Lonchura striata: one gene and its partners. The main gene of each other region encodes a partner of the protein of the gene in region 4 in a complex. Links are inferred from orthologs where the notes say so. Each region holds a gene or a part of one and is shown on either strand. Other genes may lie near its edges. The genes, in order: NUP153, CETN3, NUP188 and NUP160.

Region 1 (7,642 bases), on a different chromosome or scaffold from region 4:
TCCACAATTCTACTCCAGGAACACCCACCAAAGAGATACAAAAAGGCTCTTTTTGTTCTGTGATTCCCCCACCTCAAATCTTCATGGTTAGTGGATACTGTCCTTACCTCATTGTGCTATTACTTTTTGTCTCTTGGTTTAATAATACAACCACTGACAGTGCATTTTTTATAAGGCAGGATGGTAGCCCAGAAAGGAAAATACTGTGGTTAAGTTCCTTCACTACTGGGGGAAATCTACTCATAGCTCCATCTTCCAAGAGAAAATAAAAGCTGCAAGTCACATCCTCCAAGCAGCATCTGTTCATCTCTCCTATCTGAGATTGATTCAAAAAAAACCTCCACAGTTTAAAAAAAACAAAAACACATGCAAATATAACGCAATATGGCTCTATCAGGCACCTGGGGAGAAAAGGGCAGGAAATTCTGCACTTTCCATGTTTATTCCAAGAATATATAAAACAAATAACTTCTGAAATCATGGATCACAGGCTGTATGTCTCCACTCTTGGAAGGTAACATCTTCTTATACATCCTCTTCCTGGCTCAATGAATCACACATTCTTTTTCTGGATAATAACACAGTTTCAGTCAGAAGAACTCAAAGACAGCATACAGCTTGGCAACTGGGATATTTGCCCAGAAAGTGGAAGATGTAGGTTGATGCCTCTAAGTAAAAAAAAAAAAAAAAAAAAAAAAAAAATCTAAAACAGGGTCTACCACATTTTGAACAAATGCTTTAGCTAATCATCTTTGAAAAGCAGCATCATCTCCTCTTCCAAATATCTTCTAAAGCCATTGCTGCACTTAATGGAAGACTGACTGCAACATGCTAGGGACCACTGGAGAATTCACATGTGACCAAGCTCCCTGGGAGACTATGGCAAAACAACAACATCAAGAAAGCATAACAACTTAAGAAAAACATACAACAGGCCTGTTATAAGCCTGGCATCATGCTACTACTCATCTATCATACAAGTGGAAAAGAATCAGATATCCTAAGAACTGTAAAGATTTTAGCAATATGGCATTCAGTGCTTAGGCACCTTCAGAGCTTGGTGATAAGAGACTGCAGTCTTGATCTAAAGCACTTAGAACAGTTCTAATACAGTACTTCTATGAGCTCCCTTATTGATAAGTTAGGGGAGCAGGAGATCATGTCCAGTCTGCACTGAGCACTTCTATGTCTTCTCAAACTCATTACTGAGAGACAACACCAAACCACAGAATACTTTCTGCAGAGTGGATGTTTTATTGAAAATAAAATTATCAATTAATTCCAGTTCAAGTCAGCTATCTACCCAGAGCTCATCTTTTTATGTAACGCAGGTTAGCAAGCTACATAGGGTTAAAAAGCCATAACTTATGACAAATGCACATCTGACACCTATCTGTTTGACTATTTACCATTTCTTCCCCAATATACTAGTTAATTTGATTGATGTATTCAACTTGCAGCATCCATGCTCTGGGCTGCATCTCACAGATATCCCCCCAGGCACATGTTTGCTTTGCCCCATTGTTTAAATAAACCTACTAGAAAACCCGCAGAGGTAACAGACAATAGAACAATCAGAAAATCATCTCACCTAATTATTTTTAATTCATCTGTTTTATTAGTTATCTACACAGTATCACCATGTGCAGCATATTGAAATTTCAACATTACTGTTGTTCACGTAAGAGCTTTCAACATTTGCTCAGCAAGTGCAGTGATTCTTTGGATGAAGAGTCACCCTGCCCACTTTACAAGGACAACACTGCTGATCAGTGTTATACAAAGGATTAAGAATCGTACTTCCCAAATAAGAACTAATTGAGCAACAATTTATGCATAACATGCCCTCAATTTTGCCTATAATATTTAATCTCCTGGCTTATATTACCGATTTAATAACGCTTGGTTTTACAGTCAATTTCAGGTTCACAAATACACGTGAAAGGCATTTCCAGAGCACCATCTCCAGGCATCTTGAAATTCTCTGACAAACAGGAGTTAGGAAGGATCTTTGCTTCTACTCTCTGCAGCCATTCTAAATGGCATAGGATCTTTGTAACACAATTTACAAACTGCTTTTTTTCTGTTATCCATCTATTCTGTCCCACAACACAAAGAAGAACAAATGCCTCATGAATTACATTGTGCTTGCACTGCACCACCACGTTTAGGGACAGGCAAGACACTAAAAAAAAAAACCTAAGGGTTCTGTAGGCAGCATCCTATTAAAAAAAAAAAAGAGAGAGAAAAAGAAACCACAATGGAAGAGATGCCCAACTACCCAGCACCCTCACAGCCTCATTCGCAACCTGGAATTTGTCAGGAAAAGCAAATATTAGAAACGATGCACTTAAATCTGAAGACTAACTCTAACTTGATAATCCAGTTAAGATCAATTAAATTAGGATTTAACCGGGCAGCCCAGAGACAAAACGAGCGAGCATCCCGTGGAGCGGGAGCCAGCCCGCTCCAACCGCGAGGAGCGGGAATGCGCACCTACGCCTGCCCAGCCGCCTCCTCCTCCTCCCGCCTTTGCTCCTGCCTAGCGGGGGACACGCAGAAGACAAAGGGGAGGCGAGAATCCCCCCGCAGCCCGGCGGCGCCGGAGCGGGGCGAGCGCCCGGAAATCCCACAATGCCCATGGTCCCGGCGGGAAACGCTTCCCTCCTGCCTCCCCACGGGCCGCTCCACCGGGAAACCCCGGCCCGAAGCCGCGCACGTGGGGCTGCGTGGAGAGCGGGGGGGAGGGCGGCGGAGCAAAGGGGCGGCTCTGCCGGGTCGGGCCTCCGGGGCGCCTCCTGCCGCCGCGGACGGGAGCGCCGGGGGAGAAGCGGGGTGGGAAGGGAAGGGGTTCACGGGGCTGACCCGCCGCCTCACCTGCTGCTTGCCCCTCGCGTAGGGCGGCTTGGCGGCTCCCAGGTGGTGCCGTCGGGTCCGGATCTTGCCGCCGCCGCCGCCGCCGCCACCCGAGGCCATGATGCGATCCGGCCCGCCGCCGCCGGCGGCCTCGTCCTCCTCGCCCAGGTGCGGCCGCTGCGCTCCGCCGCGGCCCGGCAGCGCTGCCGCTGTCACCGTCCCCGCGGGGACGCGCCCGGCCGGGCCTCGCTCCCCCCGCGCCGCTCCCGCCCGCCACGCGCCGCGCGCGGCCTCTGGTGCGTGCGCGGGGGGCTCCTCCGCGGCCTCCGCCCCGCCCCTACCCGCGCGCGCGCGCGCTCTCGCGCGCCTCTCCCTCCCGCGCGTCTCCCCTTTCCCCGCGTTCCCTCCCGATCCCTGCGCCCGCCGCTCCCAGCTCCGCTCTCCCGCCCGGCGGCGGCGCCCCGCGCGCTGTCCGCCCGCCCGCGGCCCGAGCCGCCGCCGCACCCCCCTGCCCTGCCGACCAACCACACGGCGGCCGCCCCGGGCCGCGCGCGCGTCACCAGCCCGCGCGGGCGCGTCACACAAGCGGCGCCGGACCGACGGCCCGGCCGCGCACGCGCACGCGCACCGCCCCCGCTGCGAGGGAAGCGGGAGGGGCCGGGCCGGGCCGGGCCGGCTGCGCGGGAAAAGCGCTCGCTGGGATCTGCCGCGACCGCCAAGGACGTGGCGGGGGACGTGCCTGCTCGCGGGCGCAGCACAGGGACGCCTTGAGGGGACACGAGCGGAGGTTCGTGCCGGGGTCCCGCCGCGGGTGACTCCGCCGCCACCTCCCCTCTTCCCGCAGCGTTTCACAGAATGACTCAGGTTGAAAAAGAGCACAGTGAGTCATCTGATCCAACCTTCCCGCTCAAGCAGTGTCGTCCCAAAGCACATGGCACAGGATTGCATCCAGACAGTTCCTGACTTTCTTCAGTGAAGGGAGACTGGCACCACCGAGCAGAGCCTGCCTCTGTCCTTCTGACGATCTGCCCCCAGGTACACAACTTACCCACGCGTGAGGGGGATGTTTCCCTTGTCCCTGACGAAGAACAGCATGGACAATGAAGCAGGAAAAACGGCACCAGGAAAAACGGCACCAGGAAAAACTGCACGGGGAAGCCCACAGTGCTCCCCCAGATTGCCACTAGCGATCGAGTTTGTGTAAGCAAGAGAAAACAGCAGGTGCAGGTTTTTCATCACTAAGTGGTGGCCTATGGAAAGGAGGTAGGGGAAAAGGCTTCGCCGTGGCTTTTACTTCCTCAAAATATGAGGAAGAGTGCATTCCTATTACAAAGTTTAAATACATAAAAATGTGGGATTTTTATCTTACTGAAAGTAAAGTTGAGAAAACACTATGGTTTCACTCTTTATTTTTAGCATCAACTTGCCGTGGGAAGGATGGAGCTGAGCAGTGCAAACCAGCACGCACCTGAAGAAAGGTTTTGGAAATTATGGGGAGCTCAAACAAGGGTGATTCTGAAGGCATACAGAAAGGTAAGCTGGCAGCAGCTGCAGAGGAACAGCTGTAAGAAATGGTACTAGGAAATTTTGTGTTGCCTCATCTCTGCTTCATACTGGTTTTTTTTGAACTTCACTGGGGTCCTCCTAGCTCTCTTACATGACTTGGCTCAATTTCTCTGTCCCATTTTCATTAACTATAGGAAATAACTATTATCCAATACCTAGCATAGTGGAATTATTTTCCAGATATTTCTCCTCATAAAACTACACTCTTACTCTCACAATTAAGAATACAGTTTTACATGCAGGGGGATGACCTGCAGTGATAGACGATCCCTATCCTGGAACATGCCTGTTTGAAGTCACCTGCAAGAACCACCTCATTTTGCGTAAACGGCTGATGTGCTACAGCTGCTGACTAATTTTAGGATGATGGTCTGCTTCTACAATGGGCATTTCTAGATCTACATCAGTATAATTATCAAAATAGGAAAAAAATAGTATTTTTGCCTGGATTTGCAATTCTTTTTGTCCAGGAACCAATTACCATGCTAGCTTTCAGCTTAAGAGAAGGGGAAGGAAGGCTAGCATAATGTGTTTCCATTATGGGAAGAGCGAGATTTACAGAGGGGATGGAAACTGCACGTTGGTAACATACATTCATTAGTAACAATGCTGGCTTCTAAAATGGTACCTGCGTGGGGAACTGACTAAAATCATTCTTGTGCTGGTCAGGTAGGAGCTGAACAAATTTAAAACGAGCTTCCCTCTTCATGTATGCTAAGAATATTAAGGTAAGCTGTAAACACGATTTTCTCTTCCATATACATGTCAAATGCAGCTACACTAGACATTTGCTCTATAAATTCAAGTGCTGCTTTATTTACTTATTTTACCTATTTAGAACAATTTCCATATGGTGACATACCTTTAAAGAAACTCATGACTCAGAAATACTTGTTGATGTAGTCAATGTCTATTGACATGAGTCACTGAAGTTAAATAAATGTCATTAAAATGAGACAAAACAAAAGGCATATATATATATATATATATATCTCCAGCAGAACGATAGTGATCATCACCATTTGATCAATCTTCCCTGTGAGTTATATCTGCAAGTTACTTTGAGGTAGTGCTAGAAAGAAGCTGTTGGTCCAAGAGCATCCCTGCAAAAAGAAACATTCACGGCTTAAGTACCATTTAACCTTTTTGAACACTTTTCAGTCTTCACTGGTTTTTAGCCTGTTTTTTCCTCCCTGTTCACTGACTACAGGATCATTAGCCCCTCAAACCATGGTACTAAAGCTTTTCTGTTCAGAATAGTAGAAAACAAAAACATTACTCTTCTTCAAGAATTAAGTGGGTTTTAGGTAAAGGCACTATCTATCACAGCTAGGTACAATGAAGAGTTTATAAAACCAATACTTGATATTCTTAAAAAAAACCCTTTCATCAGACTTAAAAAACTCCACAACTTTCCAGCTGGGCAAAACAGACAAAAAAAAGAAACAAAGTGAAATAGTGTAGTGTTGAAAACATTGGTCCCAATACTTTTTTTTAAATGTTTCTACTGCAATTAGCTCTTTGCAGAACTGAGAGCAGGCATCTGTATCATGGACATGTTCAGGTCTTTGTGTAGGCTTGCTAAGTGAGGCAGTAGCTGGACCAGTGCTTAAAGTTTCCCCAGTTAAAAGTCTCAGCAATGAATGCCAGCAGATCTGATGCATTCACTTTTTCCCTAATTCATGCTTACACCAATACCAAAGTTTTTTCGGTGTGCATTTACAGTAAAGAATATGCTGCACACAGTATCTTGATATGCACTCCTAACTGGTAAGCAGTATAGACTAGAAAGGCTCAGGAGACAGAAAACAAAATCAGAGAGCTATTTAAAACAGCCTCACACAGGCTGCAACCAGCAGACTTCCCTTCTTCAACTCACTTTTCTTCTGTGCTGACTAAAGAAAATACATTCCCCAACATTTCTCAGGTTTGCACAATTAATGGCTCAAACAACCTCCTTCACTACATTTCATAAGCAGTATTTTCACTATACAGGTACTTTACAGCCCAGAACAGAAGATGCATGTCTGAAAATAGTCTATAATGCAGAGTGTGGAGACCTTGCTAAGATGTAAACTCTGCATAAATATTGTGACTACAGACTCTGATGTTTATGTGCTGTGGTAATACAGTGCTGATTAAAGTGAAATCACACAACTACATGGGCTCCTTGTTATATAATTCACATATGGATCAAACTCCCAAAAGCTAACAAAAAAAAAAAAAAAAAAAAAAAATCAGTGGATACTCTATAGTATTTCTACCAAGCCAACATGCACCCTTACTATCTAATAACACAATGAAAGGTTTCCACAAATTACTTGCTACAGGTAAAGTATGATGTTAGGTAACGCTATGCAAAGCAGGATATGCACTTCAAAGCAGGACACTTCCAGGTCTGTGCCTGGGTTATAATCTTCCAGCTTGTGATGACAGTGCTTGTTGGATACAAAATCCTTTGCCTAGCAACTGGTTTGTACTACCAAGCTCAAGCACCCCAACTGTACACTGCAACTAAAGTGACAGCAAATCCAGCATGATTTTGAAAGTTTAACATCCTCACATCAAAATTCAAGGGGCCTGCATCTATTGAGTTTCCTCCCTTCTGCAGTCATATGAAACAATTCTATACAGACACACTGTTCTCTTTCCCATCCAAATTCTCTTTGCTTCATTTATTCCACTGTCACATTCCCATTATTAATCTCCCTACTGTGACCCTCCATAGACTAACCAGTTCACACCAGAGAAACATTTATGTACAAAATCCCAGTTTTCAGCCACTTGGCAACTAGTTCTCTCCAAAGCAGGGAAACATTCTAAGACTGTTATAGTTGTCTCCCTGCCTGAAAGAAGGGCTTTTGTTTTCTCTCTTTCTACACCTGCAATGCACAAAATTCAGGAAGAATGAAATTCCTATATCACACCAAAAGACCCTTCCAGTTTAGAGCATCTGTATTTCATGGGTGGGACTTAAAAAAAAAAAACCCAGCTGAAATCAAACTGTGAAAAGAGGAAGATTCTGGTGAGCAGGTAGAAGGGACCTGCCATGCCAAATCATCACTCTGCAATGCAGTACTAGTTTCACATTTAAGAACAGCATATGGGATATGACCACCACTTCAATGTAATTAAGTCATTAAAGAAAAAAAACCTGCCATCCTAGCAATTATGGTTTAGACTGCCCCTAAAACACACATCAGTACCAAAATGCCTCGAG
Region 2 (7,926 bases), on a different chromosome or scaffold from region 4:
TACCTTTTGTTCTTGATGTCTTAATTAGAATAAAAATGCATAGATGATTTAAGGGAAGTTTAGTGAACTCCATCTACTACTCTGCAGACTTTCAGGTGGGAGACCTTACTTACATAGAAAGCTATTAGCAGATGGAGTTTAGGCTATCATTAGGAGCATCCTTATTTGAGAAGGGCAACAACTGAGCCTCCCTCAAAAAGCACACCTTATTCCTACAAATCATAGGCTTTCTTTTGAAAAATACAGGTAAGCTCTGGCTTGTAGTCAACAGTTTTACAAATTTGATTTACATATTTTACCTACACATCTGAAACCAACAGAAGGCTTTAAGTCATAAATCTTTAAAACTAATCAAACACAAGAGTTTTTTCCCTCTGTCCAAGCTTATCCCTGGACAGTTTTTCCATCTGTCCAAGCTTATCCCTGGTCAGCAATTATACCAGGGTTATTTACAATGCTATAGCAATTCTGTTACACATGAAGTAAATAATAAAGTGGGAAGAAAAGCTTATTCCTATACCAATAGAAATTTCCCATTCTTTCTTGTTTTTTCCTTCACTCCTTTAACCAAGCAAGACATCTTGAAGGAAGTTTTTAAAGATATAGCCAGCATCTTAAGTATTCACTATGGAACAGATATATTATCTGCTATAAAATTGCTTAAATGAAAGGAAACTTCTACCTTTAATTGATGGTAATTTATTGCTCTATCCTTGTCCGTATCAAACAATTCAAAGGTATCTTTAATTTCTTGCTTCTGTTCCTCAGTCAGTTCTCTTCTTTTCTTCTTTTTAGTTTTATCTACTGAGAGCTCATTCCTACATAAAGAAAATTAAATGTAGTGTAACAGATTTCTACTGGGAAGATGTCATTGTAAATAACCATTTCCACCAATAATAAACTCACCATAATTTTAGAAATCACTACCTTACCTAGTCAGTATTTTCCCAGCTTGTATTCCCAGTTTAAAATAACATTTGAAATAGACAATTATGTTGTGAAATCTGAATGATACCTCCAGTCTCCCACCCAAAATAAACCAGCACAGGCATTTTTGTTAATAAGCATCAACAACAACAAAAAACAGAGGATAGAAAAATTACCAGATAAAAAGGCTTTTTGAGGTTTCAAACTACATTAGCAGTTGAAATTATACAACTTTTGAAAACAGTTAATTTCTACACTGTAGCTTAAAAAATAAAATTAATTTAGGGACTGATATGCCAGTGGAAGCCAAACTAGGCCAAACAGTCTGGCTACTAAAAGCTAGCATTAGGTGCTACAAATCAACTTTGGCACCTGTAACAATTCTTAGATAAATAGTACTTGTAGGAATTTTTTTTTAATTCTTTAGACCACACACATACACACTGTTTTGAAGATTTTTTTTTGCTCTGTTTTGGTATATATGAAAGAGACAAGCCCTCCAAATCAGCAAATCTTGCTCAAAGACTGCCCCCTTTTCTTTGGCTAGTAGAAATAAGCTTATATTTTCAGAGGAGCATAGTAAAAGGAGGAGAGACAATAACTACAAAATTTAAGGGAAAGAACTGCAGCTGGTATAGAAACTACAGCTGGATCTAAGGGATAATATTTTCCCAGTGCATGTGGTGACATGCTAGAATAGTTCCACTGGGAATGAGTCTCCATCATCAAACATTTTTTTAACCTAATTATAAAATGTGCTTAGCATCCTCAGCCAGCTTTATGTAGAAGCTGCTGTGATCAGGAAGCTGGACTAGATGACTTCCATAAGTCTTTCCTAAATTATTGCATAGTTTATGTTATACTATCAGGAATAGGCTTTTTATGCTCATTTGTCCTTTTGCACCAGAGGCAGAATGAGTGCTGCTGCGTCACCTAGGGTAGACTGCATAAAGATTACTGTTCAATGAACAGAAAACTGCAAGATTAACTTTCCAAGTCTCCTCTAACAAGCTGTTTTATGCTCTTCTTTGTTAACAATTTGCTAATTTTAATCAAAACCTAAGACTAAACACTTATCTATACTTAGTTTTCAACAACCACTGAAGCAAAAACCCCAAATACACACAATAAAAGTGCAAGCTGCAGAAGCTGAGCTTCAAACCACAATACCCTCAACGAGTAAGATGTTCTTAACAGACCACTTGAGACAGTGTGATTTCACACAGGCTTTGGATTACTACAACTCTTGGAAGGCCTAAAATAACTCTGAGCTGGCTAGGTAATTAGGACCAAGAGAGTAAGTAGATCAGATCTAGGGAGCCCACATTTTGTGAGCTACAATGAAGAAATACATTTATAAATCTGAAAGCAGATTAACACCAAACTCTTCTGAAGGAGCAATCCAGGTACCTAAGTGTTCATTTAATGCTTAGCATAAAATAATTTATCAAAAGACAAAGCAGTACTCAAATACAAGTAGTTCAGTACCACTTCTGCAACTACTTTAACCATAGCAAGCATCAAGTTCTTAGATTTGAAAATTAATCGTAGCAGGTGCCATGTAAGCATATTAATTACACTTGAAGATAAAAATTTGCCAGGCACTGGGATTCATAAGCCAGGCTCCTTTACGCAATAGCTACTAAATCAGAATGCAGAAACAAAACAAAGCCAAGCAGTTTAACTTTATGCCTATTCACAGGCCTTTTGAAAGCACATCAGACAACCCAGAAGCGAACTTCCCAAGGCCAGACGCGCCGGACCCTTCTTTCTCCGGCCAGAAAGACGGGCCTGGTCCGGCCCGGCCCGCCGAAGGGATCAGATGGGACCGGCTGAAGGCCGGCGATGACCCAGGCCCCGCCACGGCCTCCCAAAGGGGGCAGCGTGGCCCTGAGGGACCCACACCGCGCTGCGGGCCCCGAGCGGGCAAGCAAGGGAAGCGCCGTGCTCGTACCGACCTGAGGGCCAGGCTCATGGTGCCGCTGCCGCAGCCGGGTCCGGCAAACGCGCCGGGTCCGGCAAACGCGCCCTGCCCTGCCCTGCCCTGCCCCGCCCCGCACTGCCCCGCACGGCCCCGCACGGCCCGGCCGCGTCCCAGCCCGGCCGCGCCGCTCTCCGGCCCTTAGCGACGCCGCTAGGCCACGCCCCTACCGAGTCCCCAACCTGATTGGCCGAGGGGCGATAAAGTCCCGCCTGCGAGCCCTGAGCGCGCTGCCATTGGCTGAGCTCCTGCCACTCAGCGCGGAGAGGGCGGGCCCCGCCGAGAGCGGGCGGTGGCTCCCGGCCGCGCCTCCGGCCGCCGCGCCGCGTCTGCCGCCGAGCGGGCGCCGCGGGAAAGTTTCCCTAAGGAAGGATTTCTCGATGTTTGATCTTGATTTTCAAGCCTAATCAACAAGGAAGGAGATTCAATCCTTGAAACAGATAGACGCTACTAAGCAAGGTTAAAATAATGTCCAGGGGTTAGAAAGACAAATCTTTAGTCCTAATTTCCTTGTTAAGGTCTAGGGCACGACGTGTTTCAATATCAAACAAACAATTCGGAATTTATAGACTCCAAGGACATTTGGCAGAACTCCCAAGATACGGAAGAAATTAATAAAGGCAACTCAGCAACTGTGTTGAATGAGCTCCAGTTCCAGCAGATCACTTACCAAGCTGCCCACCGACTCAAGAGAAGGACTGGGCATGTGACTAATTAGCATGAGAAATAAGAGAATTATTAACAACAGAATATAGAATAATAATTAATAAGAGAACGATGTAACCTGAAGCCAGTGAACATTAATGCATTTGTTTGCTAAAATGTGTATAAATACACAAAATACTAAAGAGTTTTGATAGTTGGTGTGCTTGACTCATGGAATACAATGCAGCACCCAGGCTTCTGCGACTCTAAAACAAATAATCCATGTCTCCCTCAAGTGTGTAATTACTGGCTTATTGCACACTGGGTTATAAATCTGATTTTTGTGGTCAGCACGTCTACTAGTCTTGCTGTAGAACGTCTGGTGTCTGTGTCAGAAGAACTCCCCATGCCCCCAGAGCCTGCTCGCTACTCTTCAGTCCAACTGTTGGAGGTGCAGTGGGCTGTGGAGATGGACACAAAAGTGGCATTTACAGAAGCATTTCTGGCACTTGTACAGATTTTGCCTTGCTAAAAATTTGATTGAAAGTGTGATAAATAGATGTGATTCGTGCTGAATAAGTTGTACTTAAACCAATAATTTGGAAAAATAATTGGAAAAGTGCATGTGATTAGTGTTATGAAGCGGACGGGTTTCTTCAAGAATACAAGTGGAAAGCAGGATGTAGGAGTTGGATTCGGCCTTGGGAATGGACAAAGTCAGGAAGACTCCCAAACCAAAACTGGCATCAAGATGGAATGAGACAACTCCCAGAGCAGGACCAACCTTGGAGATGAATAAAGTTGGGACAATTCCAGACAGGGAGTCTAAAATAGTGGTCTTATCTATGAGATAAATAAGGTTTAATTGGAAAATAGTGCTTACTTACATAACACCAAACTTAATGTGCATGTGCCACCTGCCAGGTTATCCAGAGGACAAGTAAGGAAGACCTTTGGCCTTCCTCCAAGACCACCAAAAAGCCCAGGAGATCCCATAGCAACAACAGGAGGATGCGCTGTGTAGTATTAGTGATGTAGATTTCAAGAATCAAAAATGGGAGGAGATTTACAGGAAATATTGATGAATATGTATTAGCATACAGTATAAAATTTCTGTTTGGATCATTTTGCCCTTTTTATGGATAGCAGGACAAGAAGCCTTCTCCATACCCTGATTGGTTTCACTTATGCTTTATCTGAACCATTGTCAAATTACTCTTTGTAAGCACTTCATTACATTTGATTGTAGTATTATTATTATTTTATACCCCAATTAAAAATTGCTGCTAAATTGCAATCTTGTGATTTATCAAATTGGACATATGAGACCCCATTCATAACAAAAGCAATATGTACTGTGTGGAGATTGGAAGACCTTATGTATAGTTCCAGTTATCATTGACACTAATATTACTGTGTCTTGCAAAACAGTCAGTGAATCACCATTACATATCTGTGTAGAGAAAATGCTCATATCACTGGTGAGAAAACTCAGATTTCTGCAAAGCGCTGCCTCAGTGCTCTGGTGTGTGACAAAGTAATTGTCACTGTGTCTTTCTTCATAAAAAAGGGCTGTTTCATAACTAGCTTTGACAACATAGTACAGTGTTACTAACTGGACCATTATGTTATTCAGATCCTATGTTATGCAGTCTGGCTAGACAGACTGAAAATTCTCAGGCAATGAAAAATTCCTTCAGGCGTTTCAGTCCTGACAGCTTGTCTTGGAGATGTTTTGCACCCGTGTTTCCGGTAATAAACTATTATGTACATGGAGTACACAGTGTTCAATATGTAGAGTTTGGCTTGCTCAATACACATTTTTCCTGAGCAAAGTCAAGAAGAGATGAAACCTATTTTGCTGTCTGTTCATATTATGCCTGGTCCACAGATCAAATAGGCAGAGGCAAGCGGTTTGTAATTGACCTCTGTTTACAGACAGTAGCTTTGCAACTAAAAGCATAAATTACTGGCAGGTTTGACCCTCAGCCTGTACTGTGGTGCAAATATAACCACAGATTAATTTTTTTTTTTTTTATGTTTCATAGAACACATTTACTTGTCCAGAGAGAAAAGGAAGCATTAACCAAATGGTGATTTAAGTGTGGGAAAGTAGCACAAGTAGCCCCCAGCTGCACCAAGAGCCCCAAATTGTTTCACCCCCATTCTCACCTCCTCTGCGTGTTGATCCTGGGTCTCAGCATAGGGTCTTGGATCTTGCCTGAGCTGCGCTGGGGTTATTCCCGTCTTGTACTGTGTGCTGCTCTTGCTGACATATTTACAGACTTTGTGGCCTGGCCATGACCTTGAGTCATGACCTTGCCATTGTCTGCAGTCGCTGGGCTGCTGACAGGTCAAGTTACTCTGCAGGGAGTTCATAATCCCTGCCAGTGTTGTGACTGTGCTTTGCTTCCAGGTTGTCCTCTCTCATGGTGCACCCGTGCCCTGGCTGCTCTTTGTCAAGCAGAGTGAGATACCTGATACTGATAGTCTGGGTGTGCTTCTGGGAACTGAAGATCCACATTCATGTCCCTACTTCTAAATTTATAAGCTAAAAAGTGGCTCCAGAAACCAAAGTGCCACTCTTCATTAAGTTAGCAGCAGTGCTCATACTGCATGTGAAATGGAGATGCACAGAATTCCAAAGAGAAAAGACAGGCTCAAGTAATAATAGGCTCAAGTAATAATAGGCTCAAGTAATAATAGCTAAAAATAAGTACATGGTTGTGGTAGTAGTGACTTGTAAATCCTTGCATTTTCAAAGTTGATTAAACCCGTCCTAAAATGACCACTTATGAATGCACTAGCATGTTTCTCACACAAACATATTCTCAGCTTAATAAGGAAAATAATTAATAATGAAATATACTTAAAGCATAGCATAACCAGAAAAAACATTACTAGCTTTTACTTAATTTTCAAACTCATTTATTGCTTTTTAAAAGTAATTTGTGGGGCTGTCTGCCAGGTCTGTCTTCCCTTTGAGTGAAGCTATATTCTTCTCTAATCCTAATTTTATTAGTATTAGGAAACTATCCTACCACTCTGTTGTCCTAAATTGAATCTGAGTATGCAAAGACTATAAACCTCATCCCAGCTGCTCAAAATCAGATCACATATCAGAATTGTAATTAAATTAATCCTGAATTTTTTAAAGGAGAAGATGGGTAAGATTTCATGCAAGTCAAAACAGTTCTGTTCATGTCACTCTTAGAACAAATAATATGTACAAATATAAAGTCAAATTAAAAACATACCAAGTATCATTGGCAGTTTGATGATTGTGAATGAACTTCTTTGTGCATCAGGGTCAAACTGCTGGGAAATACCTGGCACAATCACAGCAATGTTGACTAAGTTTCTGTGCCTTTTTCCATGTCAGGCCTCTTTTTGCTGCTTGTTTGCTTACTTTCCCAATTTTATTTTCTGTTGAATGCCTCATTGCCTCCCCAGGACCCTGTTGGGCATGTGTGGGAATACTCACAGTTAGCTCTAAAATAATTTTTTAATCAATAAGTTTTAAATTATTGTAAGACAGCTTGTCCAATAAAGTCTGAGTAGTTAGGAGTAACCATGCTGAAGATGAATGTTTTGCCTAGCAGCTCCCTCATGTAATAGTTAACGTCAAATAAATTTAAAATAGAACATAATGATGGTTTTTTTCATTGCTTCTCAATCATTTTTATACTTCCTAATTCAATTTGAAAGTGAAAGGAGTTTAGATGGACTAGCAGTATTTTGGATAATACACGGTTGAATTTTTAGAACCAAGAGATAGTGCTTACTGATTTAAGTTACATATGCATAAATAGGAACTTGGACCAGTGTTGGTTGAATGCTGAGACCTAGATTTTTAACATTAAATATTAATAAATCCTCCTTTTCCTCCACCTTTATCTCCCTCACACTCTCCATAACAGAGCTGCATTATTTTGTTTTTCTTTGGCTACAGATGACTACTCTTACAAGGCAAAGTGCATGTATAATGGGTAAACATTTTTAATGCAGTGTCTTTCTCAGAAGCATAAATAATTTTGCAAGCAACTTGTAAATATACTCCATCTAGAATGAAAAGTGCTTGTGTTGAGATATACCTAGAAATTATTACTTAACTGCATAGGGTTATAATTTTTATTATGACAATACATGAAAAAAATTTATTATGTGCAAACTGTTGTTTAATATCATAACAGCCTTGACAGATTACAGAACAAAACTTCCCATCTGATTTTTATGTCAACTCCCCAGTCTACTGAAAACTACATTAACACATATTTAGATGTAACAAAGAAATAAACACAGGTCTAAATGCTTACATGACACAGTATTTAAACTTACAATATATTTTAAAAATATTTAATCCAAGTAGTGTT
Region 3 (7,172 bases), on a different chromosome or scaffold from region 4:
TACTCACCACTTTGGAAGTTTGACCTAGAGCCTCAGATGTACTTCAACATCCTTTAGATTACTTTGAACTGAAAGGACCTTAAGTGTCTCTCTATTCAACATCATGAAGTCATTCAGTATCAGAATCCTGTAACAATTCACTCCAGAGATAAAAAATAATCCAAGAGCAGCTTCACTCACCAAAAACTTGCTGACTCTCAGACCCAACTCTTTTAGTGGAGCGGCTACATCTTTATCAGCTTTAATTTTTTCTGCTGAAGTCGTACTAAAGTGAAAAGAAATTTTAGTCATTAAAAATACAGCAATCTCAAAGAAAAAATTAAATAGGCATAATTTTAAAGTTCTCCACTCTTATCAGTCTAAACTGAACATTTGCTTCTTCCTCAGTGACCTTTCAATATTTCATACAATATTCTGTAACCTTCCTTTACTTACTAGGAAACTCCACATTTGAGATTAATTTCTAAAATCAGGCAGTGACTGTACCTCGGTGGTTTGTAGTATGACAGTCCCTCTAACAGCCTCTGCCAGTGCTTGTTCAACTCTGCAGCAATCTGAGCCTAAAACAGAACCAAACACCACTGAACAGACTCCTCAAAGTGCATTACCAAATATTACACCTGTTAAACTTCAGCAAAGCAAAGAAATTCCACCAGCACAAAGAGGCAGGAAGAACACAAGACTGGTGTCTGTGGCTCAGAGTGATTCCAGATGCAGCACTGAACAGGCAGGGAGCTGCACTGCCTGTTCCTAGGGAGGGTGAGGAAAAGGGAGGCAATGGACTGGATTTACAAACATTTGGATTCTCAACCTCTGGCCGAATTCCTGAAAGCACAGGCTCCATCCCTCAATATAAGACAGCAGTTGTACCACACGTGAACACCCCAGGGCAAACCAGGCAGCAGCACTTGTGCCCACTCCAGAAAAGGAACCACCTTTTCCATACACCCTTCCAGGCAGTTCATGCAGCAGCTGTAAACCAGCAGTTTACAGAAGAATAAACAAGTAGCAGAGGTACAGGAACAAAAATCATGCTGAGAAAGAAGGAAAGGCAGCAGAAAATATTTTCACTAATATTCAAAGAGTGTACAAATGATGTGTTTGGCCATGGAGCCCAATAAGTGATGGCCAAACCTGCTCTGCAGGGAATAACTTACTGGTTCTCTTAAAGCTGATCTGCCCAGCAAAATTGTCCATAATTCTCTGCTGCTCCTGCAAACACAAGGAAAAGGTGGAGAGCATTTTAATGATGAATGTTATTCCAGGCTTCCATCTAGCTTACACTTTTCAAACCTGCAATTAACTTACAGTGAATGACACTGCGATGCAAGAAAAATTATTTAAGGCACATTAGCTTCCAGCTAATGAGTTTCAAATGTCCTAGAAAAACCAAGGAAAAACCCAGAGAGGTGACAACTGACACAGCAAGACCTGTGAATTCACATCAAAACTTCACATTGATATCAGATTACCAGCTCAATTTGATTTTTTTACTTTAATTTGATTTAAAGCTCCTAAGAAGAAAATAGAAGCATAAAGCAGTATTCTACTATTACATTTAATGCTCTCCTTCAAACAAATTTTTCCAGCAGTTTCATCCTCCAGTCTAGGCAGAGCATAAAACTGTATGAAGTGAAAAACTCCACCATCTTCGCACAGACACCAGAACATTTACACTCAGCTTGTCATTTCTTCATGAGAACTCTGTAGAAAAGCCAACCTGCATTATAAAAATTACAGATCACACCCTGACCCTGGCACATGCATTCTAAAAGAAGTCTCCCTACAACAGCACAGAGAAAAGATATTTGCCAGAAACAGTATTTCACTTAGACAAACAATGATTTGCTAACAACACATTACAAATGAGGATTTAAACACCCCAACTCCTCACACAAAGACTGTCTACACAAGAACACTCATTGCCTTATTTTTAGAATAACATTATTAAAATAACTCACTGTGGCAGTGAAAGTCATCTGCAACTTCTGCCATGTGGTGACACTTAATGAATGACACCACCTGTTATTTCCAGCACACCCATCAGCATCATTCCTCCCTGCTCATTCCTCGATAGCTGGGTGCACTTCTCTGCCATGAGCCTCTCCAGCCCACGCAGAGCACCCAAAGACCCAGGTATTTACCAAGAACTGAACAGCAATGTGAAAGAGGCAATTCAATGAATCCCAGGTCCAGTGATCATGTCAGATCAGTGCCTTCATTTGCCTTGCACACATTTTTTTACTTATTGTCAGCTCTGAGCCCCAGCCTAGCAACGCCAACCCACCTACTTTTCACTCCTTCACAATCTCCTGTGAATAAAACAGACCGTGGTTTGTTGTCCCCTCATTAATAAGGCTCCAAGACAGCTAAGGGAGGAAAGCTCTCTGTATACGACCACAACGAACAGCGGTATCATTAATTTAATAAAAATTAGACACTAGGGAAACTCCAGAACATAAAAGCGTTATAATAAATGACAAAAAACGTGCTCTGGAGAAACGAAACCACTGAACTAAGATGATCACTGAACTCGGGATTGATTAAATCACTTCCATCACTCATTTCCACGCGTTTACTTTGACTTGCACGGGAGCGGCGCGGGAGGCGCAGCCGGTCCCGGTAGGGAAGGGCCGGGCCGGGCCGGGCCGAGCCGAGCCCCGCCACAAAAGCGCCGCAGCCGCGGCTCGCTCCGGCGCCCGAGCCGGGGCTCACTGAGGGTCCCTCAGCCGGGCGGGGGCGGGGCCAGCCCGGCGCGCGCCCCGCCGCGGTTAAAACCTCCCGGCCCCGCGCTGCGCCTCCTCCCCACAGCCCTGCCCGGCCCCCGGTGCCGCGGAGCGCGGCCCGCCCGCAGCGACAGCCGGGGCCTCCCAGGCCGCCCCCGCGCTCCCTCCGCCCGAGCGGCCCCGGCCCGCACCTCGCGCTCAGCCCGCCCGCCGCCATCTTCGCTCCGCTGTCACGTGACCCAGGGCTGCCGCCCTCCGCCGCGCCGGTGTCACGTGGTGCTGCACAAGCCACGCCCCCGCGCGTGGGTCATGTGACTGGCGGCGCGGCAAGATGGCGGCGCCCTGCGAGGTGGGTGCGGGCTGGGCTCCCCGGGGCGGTCGGGCCGGAGCACAAGATCCGCGCTGGAATCGGGAACCACCCGGGAGCGCCTCCGGCATCGCCCGCGGGCGGATGCCGTTCCCAGTAGCGGAGGCTGGGATGTGGGTGTCGCGGTTGAGGGGGACAGGAGGCGGCGGCGAGCAGGTGCGGGCAGCCCGCGGGTTGAGGGGCGTCCACAACGCTGCGGGGTCGTGGGGAAGAGAGGGAGCAATCAGGGGCTGCAGCCCGGATGTTTGGCAGCACGTCAGTGGGAAGCTTCCCCGCCCTGAGCAGCCGGCATGCGGAGCAGGAGACGGGCAGAAAACGCTGGGTCCGGCTCGATCCGCAGGGCGGTGGGTCCCGTTCGATGATGAGAGCGGCAGTGCCGAGGAGCTTCACAGTACCTGAAAGAAGGTGCGGAGGAGGGGATTGCGGCAGGCACAAGAAAACGAAATAACTCATTAGTGAAATATAGACTGTCAGGTCTAAGCATTCAGAGCCGCTCCATCAGAGACCTCAGGCAGGGTGAATTTCTACCTACTCTTGCAGCCCGGCGGGGAAGCTGTAATGCCATCGATACGGGAGCTGGGGTGCAACCTTAAGGTTGCCAGACTGAGTAGGAGGACTCTGTCTTTGGCTGGCAGGTGGCATTTACTCTGCTTCTTCTCAAATAAGCCTTAGGCTTCCCCCTCCCCAGTGCTCAGAAACAGCAGGGAGTACAACCCAAAAACTGTTATTGGTTGGAGGTAGATATTGCCCAGACCAGTTCTGGTTTATTGACTGTATGATTAATTCTTCTCCTGTTTAAAAATTAATTGCAATGACAAGAAATGACATTTGGCCTGAAGGAGCTGTGTAGCAACAGTGCATGTAATGAAGGTGTTTGGCAATCAAGTATTTCAGGCTATATGAATAAGGATGCCAAAAAGCAATCCATCAGTAAGTTTTCAGTACAAGGTTATAAATATCTAAACACTGCAGACACGCTAAGAAAGTTTTACAGTACAAACTGTAATAATTTCTCAGTAATATTGCTATTACTTTGTCAGCTTTGTAATCTAGTGTCACCATTCAACACTGGCTGAAAACCCAAAAGAGAACCTTAAATAAACTTCTGGTCTTCCATGAGGGAGCTGATGTAGATACTGGCATTGAGACTGGGGGAGCAGAATTTAGTAAGACTTTGCTGCTAATCAGCTTAAGGGTGGTCCAGAAGGGATAAAGTAAGCCCTTTTCACAGCTGGATCAACCATAATATTTCCAATAGACATAAAGAACAGGAGAACTTCAAAGACCCCAGAAGAGAGGCCAGTGTAATGGTAGAGGTTTACATATGGCCCATTATCAAATGATGTATCCATAGAGAAATCAGGGTCACCAGAAAGCAATAAATGCTGGTGAGAATTGCACAATGATGTCAATGCCCACAATTCTTTGAAGGAGATAAGATTTAACCTAACAGAGTAAATGTGGCTGTTGCTGAATATTTTAACTGCTTACCCTCCAGTCCAGACGTTTAAAGCAAAGCTTGGTTTGCAGTGCAGCTGTCAGTGTTGTCAATGCCCACAATTCTTTGAGGGAGATAAGATGAGATTTAACCTAAGAGAGTAAATGTGCCTGTGGCTGATTATCTTAACTGCTTACCCTCCAGTCCAAACGTTTAAAGCAAAGCTTGGTTTGCAGCTGTCAGTGAGCTGTGAGCCTTCACTTAGAGAAGATGAACTGCAGGATTTACTCACCTCACTTTTTTTTTAATTCATCTGTGTGTTGACTTTAGCAATTAGCACTTAACTATGAGTTTGAGTTTAAGAACCAAATAGCTGTGCAAACACTTCAGCTGTCCAAGTAGTTGCTTTAATTGCTTGCTTTTTTTTTTTTTTAATAGCAATTGCAGTAGCATGGAAGGGAATTCTTCCTAACAGGCAGCTGAGACTGGTGAAGTTGTGCAGGCCTGAGCAGGCTGGGCTGGAGTCATGTCGAACAGGGCAGTGCTGGTGGAGTCGCTGCTGGTGTTCACCGCGGTGCTGGCGGTGCACGCGGTGGTGTGGGACCGCTTCTCCTGGTGCGCCGTGGCTTTGGCCGTCCAGGCCTTCTACGCCCAGTTCAAATGGGACTGGCTGCTGCAGCAGGGCGGGGCTGTCTTCCAGTTCCGGGGTGCAGCCAACAGCGGCCTCCTGCCTGCCAGCATGGTCATCCCCCTGCTGGGGGTGGTGATGAAGGAGAGGTGCAGGGCTGCCGGCATCGTCTACTTCGAGCGCTTTGGCATCGTGGTGGCTTCCACGGGAATGCTGCTCGCTCTCTTCCTGTCCGTCTTGGCGGTTGGCATCACCAAACCTGTGCCAACCAACACTTGCATCCTGACTGGTGTTGCTGGCAGCGTAATTATCTACACCATGAAACATTCCTTGACTGTCTCCGAAGTGATAGAGGTTCTGGAAGTGCTGCTCATTTTCGTCTACCTCAGTATGATCTTGCTGTACTTGTTGCCTCGATGTTTTACTCCCGGGGAAGCGCTGCTGGTTCTCGGAGGTATAAGTTTTGTTCTCAACCAGCTCATTAAACGCTCACTGAATGTAATCGAGGGCAGAGGGGATCCCACTGACTTCTTCCTTCTGGTAGCAGTTGTTGGAGTTGTTCTTCTTGGTCTTTTTTTCACCGTGCTCTTCATTTTCATGGATTCAGGCACATGGATCTCCTCCATGTTTTTCCACATGATGACAGCAGTGTTAGGCTTAGGGGTCATCATGCCGTGGCTGTACCGACTGATCCAGAGGAACCCTTTGTTCTGGCTGCTCCAGTTTCTGTTTCAGACACAGACAAGACTTTACCTCCTTGTGTATTGGACTTTCTTGGCTGCCTTAGCATGTGGGGTGGTTTTCTACCAGAATGCTAAGAGATCATCTGAATCTAAAAAACACCAGGCCTCGACTATAACCAGGAAATATTTCCACTTCATTGTTGTAGCTACTTATGTTCCTGGACTAATTTATGACCGCCAGCTCCTCTACGTTGCTGCAGTGCTGTGTCTGGCAGTGTTTATCTTCTTAGAGTACATCCGGTACTTCAGGATCAAACCTTTTGGACAAACCCTGAGGCATTTGCTCTCTCTCTTCTTGGATGAAAGAGACAGTGGACCTCTCATCTTGACTCATATTTATCTCCTCCTCGGCATGTCCCTCCCAGTGTGGTTGTTTCCCAGATCATGTGCTCCTAAAGGCACCTTGTCTGGGGCAGGAGCACTGGTGCCCTACTCTGGGGTGTTGGCAGTAGGGGTAGGAGACACCATTGCCTCTGTTTTTGGCAGTACAATGGGGGAAATCAAATGGCCAGGAACAAAGAAGACCTTTGAAGGGACAATGACAGCTATTTTTGCTCAGATCATTGCTGTGGCTCTCATTCTGATCTTTGACAGCAGTGTGAATCTGAACTCTAGCTATGCCTGGATTCTGGCATCTGTGAGTTTGGTTTCTCTTTTGGAAGCTTACACTACTCAAATTGATAATCTGCTGTTGCCTCTCTACCTCCAGATCATGCTCATGGCATAGAAGCACTTCCAGGAACAGTTTTCTCCCTTCCTAGAGAAAGGTACTAGAAAATGCACTTTAATGAAAGCTCAAAGGTGATGTTTTGGTACAGCAGAGAAAGCTGTTGAGAACAGAAATGAGAAAGACTATTTTAAAACAGGTTTTGATTTGGTCTTGTTCTTACTCCTGTCGAAAATAGACGGATTTATGTTCTAACAGCAACAAACACAACCGATAAAAGCAGCACTTGTGTTTAATAATGCAATTTAAGTTTCTTCTGGGTGCACAAGGGAAGCAGAGGAAGAAGAGGTAAGTCAATTAGAGGGGAAAAAATAAACAAGCAAGTCTCTCAGATGTTGCTACCTCTGTACTGTACCTTGTTTTCTGTACTGAGTCTTGTCTTGTGTTTGATGTGTGAACTCTCATGTCTGTATAAGCACGATGTAAAGCATGTTTGATAATTGGGGGGGGCACAGGAACCAGGTACAAGTGTCCAGCTATGTCCAGTCCTCATCAGCAAGAGCCAAAACCACACCACGATACACAAACACAAATCCAAAATCA
Region 4 (7,655 bases):
ACCTCTGGAAAACCAGAGGTTACATCAACACCTCCACAGAAAATTCTCCATCCCTGGAAGCATCCAAACTCAGCCTGGACACTGGTCTAGTGGAAGGTGTCCCTGCCCTAGGTAGGGGGTGGGACTGGATGAGCTTTATTTAAGGTCCCTTCCAACACAAACTGTTACAGGATTTTATAATTCTAAAATCATGGCAGGTGCACAGATCCAAGGCAGTGGGGTTCCACCACTGTGCTTAAATCCAAATAAACTGGTAGGTGAGATTAGGAGAAGGGAACGTTTCAGCATCCCCAGAGCAGAAGATCCCACCACACCAGTGACATCCAGCTCTTCACTTGCTTTAGTGGAACTGAAGCACATTCCCACTTCCCCATCCCCAGGTACTTCCAAAACACAGGTGAATGATCTAGAGGGAAAAAAGGATCCAAGCAGCCCCTGGCATGGATCCTGCCAGCCCCTGACAAGGATGCAAGAAGACATGAGCAAGGATCCTGACAGCCTAATGCCTTAACTTTCCTTTTTTCCAGATTCTGTACTGCAATAGTATGTAACTCTGAACTTCATATGAAGTGTTAGCAAGTTCTTTTCACAGTTTAGTTAGACAAAACCATATTTTTCCAGCCCAAGAACCAAGGACACCATTGCAGCTTCAGGCCCCAAAAGTAAACAATAAACAGTAAATAAGTAAACCTGAAACAGCAGCAAATTGAGGAGAGCAATGTGGCAGGATGGATCCTGCCAGGATCCTGCCAGCCCCTGGGCAACACACCCACAATGGTCAAAGTCACTCAGGGCATCAAGGGACTCACTCCCACTTCCAAGAAAAAGGCTCTAGGATTCAGCTGTGCACTCTAAACCACTCTAACAAGCCCATCCCACCACGGAGCATCCATGTGATCCCCACATAACCTCTGCTGGTCAGGAACGCGCCTGGCTCCTCAGCACCAGGGCAGAGTAATCCCTAATCCATGCTGGCTGCGAGCCACATCCTGGGCAAATCCCTGGAGGCCAATTACTAGAGAAACATATTCATAGACACATGGAACAGCAGGACCCTGCTAATCCAGCATTCCACCCCCAACTTCCGTACACTGATAGCTCCTGTGACCCCGTTAATTTTTTCGGGTGGAGTATTTATAGGTGCATGTGTGACTCAAGCTAAAAATTCCAGGTGAGGGGATCCAAAAGCCAAAATTAGCTCTGTTTATCTCTCTCCAGGCACTCACCTGATGGCAGTTGGCATCCAGCCTGTGAGGAAACGCTGCACCACCGAGCTCTGCTTCAACTCCACGACAGAAACACTCCCTTCAAAAAACAAAAGGAAAATCAAAAAGTGAAGATTAAATGAAATTCCAAGATGGGAGAGGGGGTGTAGTGCCCAATCCTTACCAGGAGCATCAGGAGGAGGCAGCTTAAGGACAAAGATCCCTCCTGAGGCGGAGGGAAGGGCGAAGAGAGCCTCTCCCTCGCTGCTCAGCCAGGCTGCAGAGGCCACGGAGTTGGGAGCCAGCCCCGGCACGCTGGGAATCACGTAGTAATTGGAGGGATCCCTGATGTGGATTTTGCTGATATCTGTAAACACAGACTGAACTTGGCTCTCCGTTATCAGCTCCTGTGGGGAAACAGGAGAAAACAGCCTCAAGTTGTGCCTGGGGAGATTTAGGTTAGATATCAGGGAAAATTCCTTCATGGAAGGGATTATCAGGCACTGGAACAGGCTCCAGTAGTGGAGTTCACATCCTGTGTGGATGTGCTGCTTGGGGACATGGGTGGCCTTGGCAGTGCTGGACTCCATGATCCTAGAGGATTCCATAAAACATCAAATCCTGAGCACATATATCTAAGGCACAGGGAAAAAAAAACATCAGACATCGATGGAATGGAAACTGTCTCCTTGATCAAAATGATTTTTCCAGTAAAAAATCTCTGGCATAGCTCAGAGAAAACCACTGGTCACAAATCCCAGGAAGAGCAGCTCTGCCACAGCACAGGGTCATCCCTTGGGATAGCTCTCCAGAGCTTTCTTAGAGAGAGAAGCTCTCCAAGAGAGGAGAAGATCCTGGTAAGAAGCAGGCACAAATGGAAAAGTCAGAAATGGGGAGAATCACAGAATCCTGCAATGGTTTCAGACAGAGAAAAACTTAAAAACCATCCAGTTCCAACCCACATCCATGGGAAGATGGTAAATGTGATATAAACCCTACCTAGGATCCATGAAATACAGATTCCAATCCAGACAAAACCAGCCTGCAGCTCCAGAGTCACCACATGACGCAGGCGGAACACCAAGACAGTTCTAAATTCCCCAAACCTCCACTTTTCCTCTTGTTCCCGCTGTATTTTGGGTCACCCACCCCCTCCCCAGCCCTCCCTGTGGAGTCGGGGTCGCCTGCGCCGGCCCCGGCGGCGTTCCCGGCACTCACGCTGCGGTAGAGGCGGGCGGGGTGCGGGAGCAGCAGCCGGTGCACCGTCTGCGCCGTGAGCAGCAGCACCACCAGGTGACTCTGCACCTCGCACAGGTGGATCCCGCCCGGCAGGAACGGGCAGCCCTGGATCCGCAGCCGCACAGCGTTGTTCAGCAGGTTCACGTCCAGGGACTCCTCCACCAGCTCCACCGTGTCCCCCGACGTGCTCCTGCGGAAACAGAGGGGCAGAGCTGAGCATGGGGAGGGTCCGAGAGGGGAGAGAAAGGCAGAGACGAGGATGAGGAGGGTCTGAGGGACAGGAGGGTCTCACAAGGGTGAGAAGGGAGAGGTGTGGATGAGGAGGGTCTGAGCGAGGCAAGGCGGACGGGGGCGTGCACTCACCATCGCACCCAGCGATTCCTGGTGGCGGCCCCGAGCTGCGCGCTCTCCTGGTAGCAGAAGCCGCCGGCACTGTCGCCGTAGCGCCCGGCGGGGAGCGGGGCGATGCCGGGGGGCACGAAGAGCAGCTCCTGCGGGGGTCGCGGCGGGGCCCGGCCGGCCGCGCTCAGCTCCAGGCAGCTCCGCGCCGCCAGAGCCGCCGCCATCTTGGGCCGCCGCCTTCCCGCCTCGGCCGCGCGGGGCACGACGGGAAGGGGAGGGAGCGGGCGCCCCCTGGCGGGCGGGAGGACGGGGGCAAGAGGGAGAGGAAGGGGGGAGAGGGGAGGGCTGAGGCGGGACGGTGGGGAAAGGGTCTGGGGAGGGGAATCTGGCATGGAGATGTGGGAAGGGGACTCTGGGGAGAAGGCTACAGGGAGAGTGGATTTTGCGAGAAGGTAAAGGGGGATTTGGGGAAGGGGTTTGAGGAGGATCTATGAAATTTGGGGCAGGACACTGGGGAACAGGAGAGGAGGTCTGGTTTAGTGGGGGCATGTGTCCTCAGCAGCACCCACCCTGCCAGCTCCCGACACCCACCTGTGCCCACACCTCATCCCGGCGAAGCAGCCACAGCCGCCTTCCCGGACATGTCCAGCACACCCAACCCAGCCACTGGCAGAGCCCATATTCCCATACTGGTGAGGGCAGTGGGGACCCCATCATCCCATGGATGCCACACATCCCCCCGCAATACCACACAGTGGCAGCGCCAGCACTGGGCCTGGCCAGGCTCCCGCTCCGCTCGGAACAATCCAGCCTTTGAGCGGATCCAGTGCTGGCGCACGAGGCGCTGCCTGTAGAATGGGCCCATTCTGGTGGCAGGTGCCGTGAGGGGCCGGGGGCTCCAGCTGGCTCCCAGCTTTTCTAGGGGGGTTGAAGCCCCCCATGTTGGTGTGGAGAGCTGGCACACAGTTGGATTTGGGGGCTCAAGTGTCACGGTAGAGCCAGGGCCATGCACCAGTCATGGATGGGCTGAGGCGGGATGGAGGAGCGCTGGGAGCAGGCCCCACCCGCGGGCATCCATCCTGCCGTGGCACGGAGGGGTGCCCTGCATCCACCCCGTGGCTGGTGGCAATGGGTGTCTGTGTCCCTGTCTGCATCCCCTCGGGCAGGAATAGTGGGTGCCCATGGCTGGGGCTGGGACCCCTTCGGGTGCTCCTGTCCCCTGGGAAGGGACCCCACGGGTGACCCGGTGGCTGCGGGCTCCCATCCACCATGCTCAGTGCACCCCAGGACAGGATCAGGACTGTCCCAGGACCATCTCGGGACTGTGCCTGCACAGTACCGGGACTACGCCAGAAGCACGCCTAGTTCTGTACCGGAACAGTACTGGGATCATGCCAGGACCGTGCCGGGACAGTACCTGAACCATCTCTGGACCGGACCGTACCAGGACAGTACCTGGACTGTGCCGGGATCGTGTCAGGACAGTACCAAGACTGTACCGGAACCATGCCTGGACCAGACCGGGACCGGGACAGTACCGGACCGTGCCCCGCGGTCACGCCCGGGCTCGCTGCGATAACTGTCCCGCTCCCATTCCCGGGAGTCCCCATTCCCGTTCCCGGGGCCGGGCGGGGCGGCCGCTGTCCCCGCCCCGGGGCGCTCCCGCCGCTTCCTGCGGGCACGGCCGGGACGGGGCGGGACGGGACGGGTCGGGGCGGCGGCGGTAGCGGAGAGCGGTGAGTCCGGTCCGGGCGGGAGCGGGGCACGGCCGTGGGGTCCGCGGGAGGGGAGCCCTCGGTCCTCCCCGGAGGAGGCGGTCCCGAGGGTCCCTGCCAGAGGGGGTCTCCCGGTGGGGCAGGATCCGGGGGTCCCGGTGCTGTTGCATCCCGGTGAAGCGGGAGCCGAGGAGCCCGGTGGAATGGGAGTCGTTGCATCCCAGTGGAATGGGATTCCTGGGTTCCGGTGGGGCGGGAGCCGTTGCATTCCCGCGCGGCAGGATTTGTGGGTCCCGGTGGAGCAGGATCCGTGGGTCCTGGTGGGGCAGGAGCCGTTGCATCCCGGTGGAGCAGGATCCACGGGCCCCGGTTAGGCAGGATTCGTGAGTCCAGGGATGCCCGGAGTGAGGCAGGAGCTGGGGGTCCCCACCAAGTGGGAGTTGGGGATACTGGGGCACGGGACAGCAGGACCTTGGGGTGCTGGCAGACCCCCGGGACAGGCACCTAAAGAAATGTGGGATGTCCTCAAGCCTAGCCTGGGGTGCAGGACAGGCTGTGGCATGCGGGGTGACCCTGGACAGGGGTCCTAGTGGGAGGTGGGGGTGTCCTGCGCCCCTCCATCGGGATTAGGCGGCGCGACGCCATGGGCGCCGGGCACTAAGAGGCTTAGTCAGCCCCGCGGGTCGGTGCCGCCTTGTCCCGGGAATGCCGTGACACGGGGTCCCCCGTGGTGCCGAGCCCCCCGAGTCGCCGCGGGCGGGAACGCCGGCGCCCAGCCCGTGCCCGCCGAGCAGCGGCGGTGCCAGCCGGGGCCGGGAGCGACGGCGGCGGCAGCTGCGCCCGAGCCGGCGGCGACCTCCCCGCTCCCAAGGCCGCTGGGATTCTGGAAAATGCCTGGAAATGGTGAACCGCCTGCCCTTATATGGCTCCGGCGGGCTGGCGCGCCGCGGCCCCTCTCCCGGCGTGCCGTGCCGTGCCGGGATCCTGGGAAAACGCCGTGGGCTGTGCCTCGCGCCCCAACTCCCGCGCTGGAATGTGCAACGGGGCCGGTGATCCCACGGTGGAGAGGAAATCCCACCTCCCTCCCGCCGGCCCGGCAGCACATACTCGGCGCCTGCCTCAGTTTCCCCCAGCGGGGAGTTTTGGGGACCCACCGGAGCCCCGCGTTCGGCACTCCAGGGCGATCGCCCGTTCTCTGTGGCGGAGATGGGGAGGGTCGGGGGCGTGAAGGTCACAGCTAATCCCGCCCGGAGCAGGCGGGAGCGGGAGGGATGTGGGCGGCCGCGTGCCCACCGAGCTGATACCGGGGGGTAAGAGGATCAACCCCCCCCCCCGATCACCGGGGCGGGATGACGGTGACCGACGGGCCCAGGAGAGTGGCCGCGGTCCCGGTGACGTGGGACCGGAGCCGTAATCCCGGTGCTGTGAGCGGATTAGGATGGCCAGGGTTGGCTTTCGGGGACGAGCTGCGGTAGCCACAAATTCCCGCCCGGATGTTAATTGGGGGAGGTCCTGTCTGGTCCCTCCGTGCCACCTGGGGGTCTTTTGTCCCCCCGGCAGGGTGGGATAGGGGTCTGACACTGCCGGAAGGGATGCTTGGGGTCTACTCTCTCTAGTGTCATCGCCTGGGTGCCCCCGCTCCCTCCCCCGAGGTCGAGGTGACCCTGTGACCGGGTGCCCCATGCCTGTAAAAGTGAGGAATTTGGGGGCTAGGGGAGCTGCTCCCAAATCGCCCAGATCTGGGGTGCCCAGGAGGTGCCTCATGCCACGGTTGGATGTACCAGCACCCGGGGTCCCGGCTGTGGCACCGCTGGGGACATGGGTCCGAACCCCACTTAGGAGGCACCGCGGTGGCGTTTTGGGGGGCTCCTGGCGTGCTCGGGGAAGCCCCGGGGAGGGCGGTGGCTGGATGGCGGCCACGCGGCACGGTGGGTGTGGGGAAGCGGCGGCGGGAACCGGCCTGACCGGTTGGGTGCCGGCACCGGGGGTGCCGGGGGGCTCGGGCGGTCACGCCGCCGGCGCAGCACGTGGCCCAGCTCAAGGTCGCTGTCCCCAGGGCCACCCGCCGCGGTGACCGGGCTCAGTGGCCTCGACACTCCCACACGCTTTGCCAGTGGCCGCTGTTTTCTGGCTGTCCCAACCGTGTTTGTGGCACTGAGCGGTTTCGGTGGCACGGGAGGATCCCGGTAGCACCGGTGGTCCGGAAGGGCGAGCCGGCGCTGAGCTCACCTGGAAGGTGTCCCGCGGGCGCGGCGGTGACGCACGGCCCCGGTGGGTGGGGGCAGAGGCACTCGTCCCACCCGGTCCCAGCGCGGTCCCCGGGTTTGGGATGAGGAAGAGCTGGACTCCCAGATCGCAGCATTGGTGGGCTGTGCAGAGACTCCGTTGTGCTGTACCCAAAGATTTTTGGGGCTGGGGGATGCTAGCACCCCTTGGCATAGAGGGTTTGGCCGCCAGGGTGAACTCCCTTGGTGCCACACGCCACCCATATCTGGGGGCTCTCCACACCCCCTAACCCACCATTCTCCCCCCAGAGCCACCCTGTGCCCCACTGGTGCCAGGGGATGCCGGGATGCCGGTGCCTGCGTGTCCGCAGCGCCCTGCCCTGAGCCCAGAACCCGGCTGTGCCATGGAGGACCCGCCCAGCACCAGGACCGAGGCGTGGGCCGAGGGGCTCCATAATGCCAACAACAACGCATCCCCGGGGGGGTGGCCGGGTGCCCGCAGTGGGCACCCCCTGGCAGCTTTCGGGGGTCCCGGGGCCAAGCCCAGCTACCTGGACCGTGTGGTGCAGGAGATCGTGGAGTCAGAGCGCACCTACGCCCGTGACCTGCGCAGCATCGTGGAGGTGGGTGCCAGGGGGCACAGGGGGGTACGCCCCTCAGACATGGTGTGGGGTCTAGGGGTGCAATGGTGCTGCCATGGGTGCCTGGCAGGGTTACCTGGGCAAGATCATCGATGCGGAGGAGCCAGTGCTGCGACCGGAGCAGGTCAGCGCGCTCTTCGGGAACATCGAGGACATCTACGAGCTCAGCAGGTGGGGGAGCAGGTGCCACTGGGAGGTGACAGGGGTGCGACCCTGTCCCGCGGGTGTGTGAGGGGCTGTGGTCACCCTGTCCTCTCTGTGCCCCCCAGCACCCTCCTGCAAAACCTG

What was found.
Region 1: NUP160 (region 4) and NUP153 share a complex: the UniProt entries of both Homo sapiens proteins name them as parts of the nuclear pore complex. The link is inferred for Lonchura striata from reciprocal best matches to the Homo sapiens genes NUP160 and NUP153.
Region 2: NUP160 (region 4) and CETN3 share a complex: the UniProt entries of both Homo sapiens proteins name them as parts of the nuclear pore complex. The link is inferred for Lonchura striata from reciprocal best matches to the Homo sapiens genes NUP160 and CETN3.
Region 3: NUP160 (region 4) and NUP188 share a complex: the UniProt entries of both Homo sapiens proteins name them as parts of the nuclear pore complex. The link is inferred for Lonchura striata from reciprocal best matches to the Homo sapiens genes NUP160 and NUP188.

Annotation. Positions count from the first base shown.
Region 1 is NC_134603.1:90,606,374-90,614,015, forward strand, and holds the start of NUP153 (nuclear pore complex protein Nup153), read right to left. Parts: upstream 3,015-7,642; 5' UTR 2,977-3,014; coding exon 2,878-2,976; intron 1-2,877. UniProt on the Homo sapiens protein: Component of the nuclear pore complex (NPC), a complex required for the trafficking across the nuclear envelope. Functions as a scaffolding element in the nuclear phase of the NPC essential for normal nucleocytoplasmic transport of proteins and mRNAs.
Region 2 is NC_134642.1:67,035,897-67,043,822, forward strand, and holds the start of CETN3 (centrin-3), read right to left. Parts: upstream 3,015-7,926; 5' UTR 2,903-3,014; coding exon 2,886-2,902; intron 819-2,885; coding exon 683-818; intron 1-682. UniProt on the Homo sapiens protein: Plays a fundamental role in microtubule-organizing center structure and function. As a component of the TREX-2 complex, involved in the export of mRNAs to the cytoplasm through the nuclear pores.
Region 3 is NC_134624.1:250,877-258,048, forward strand, and holds the start of NUP188 (nucleoporin NUP188), read right to left. Parts: upstream 3,016-7,172; 5' UTR 2,944-3,015; coding exon 2,918-2,943; intron 1,213-2,917; coding exon 1,158-1,212; intron 561-1,157; coding exon 487-560; intron 266-486; coding exon 181-265; intron 1-180. Other genes in the region: DOLK (dolichol kinase), read left to right, coding at 5,058-6,629. UniProt on the Homo sapiens protein: Component of the nuclear pore complex (NPC), a complex required for the trafficking across the nuclear envelope. Required for proper protein transport into the nucleus.
Region 4 is NC_134608.1:52,472,242-52,479,896, forward strand, and holds the start of NUP160 (nuclear pore complex protein Nup160), read right to left. Parts: upstream 3,017-7,655; 5' UTR 3,011-3,016; coding exon 2,808-3,010; intron 2,635-2,807; coding exon 2,424-2,634; intron 1,613-2,423; coding exon 1,390-1,612; intron 1,306-1,389; coding exon 1,227-1,305; intron 5-1,226; coding exon 1-4. Other genes in the region: PLEKHG3 (pleckstrin homology domain-containing family G member 3), read left to right, coding at 7,074-7,349, 7,438-7,538, 7,637-7,655. UniProt on the Homo sapiens protein: Functions as a component of the nuclear pore complex (NPC). Involved in poly(A)+ RNA transport.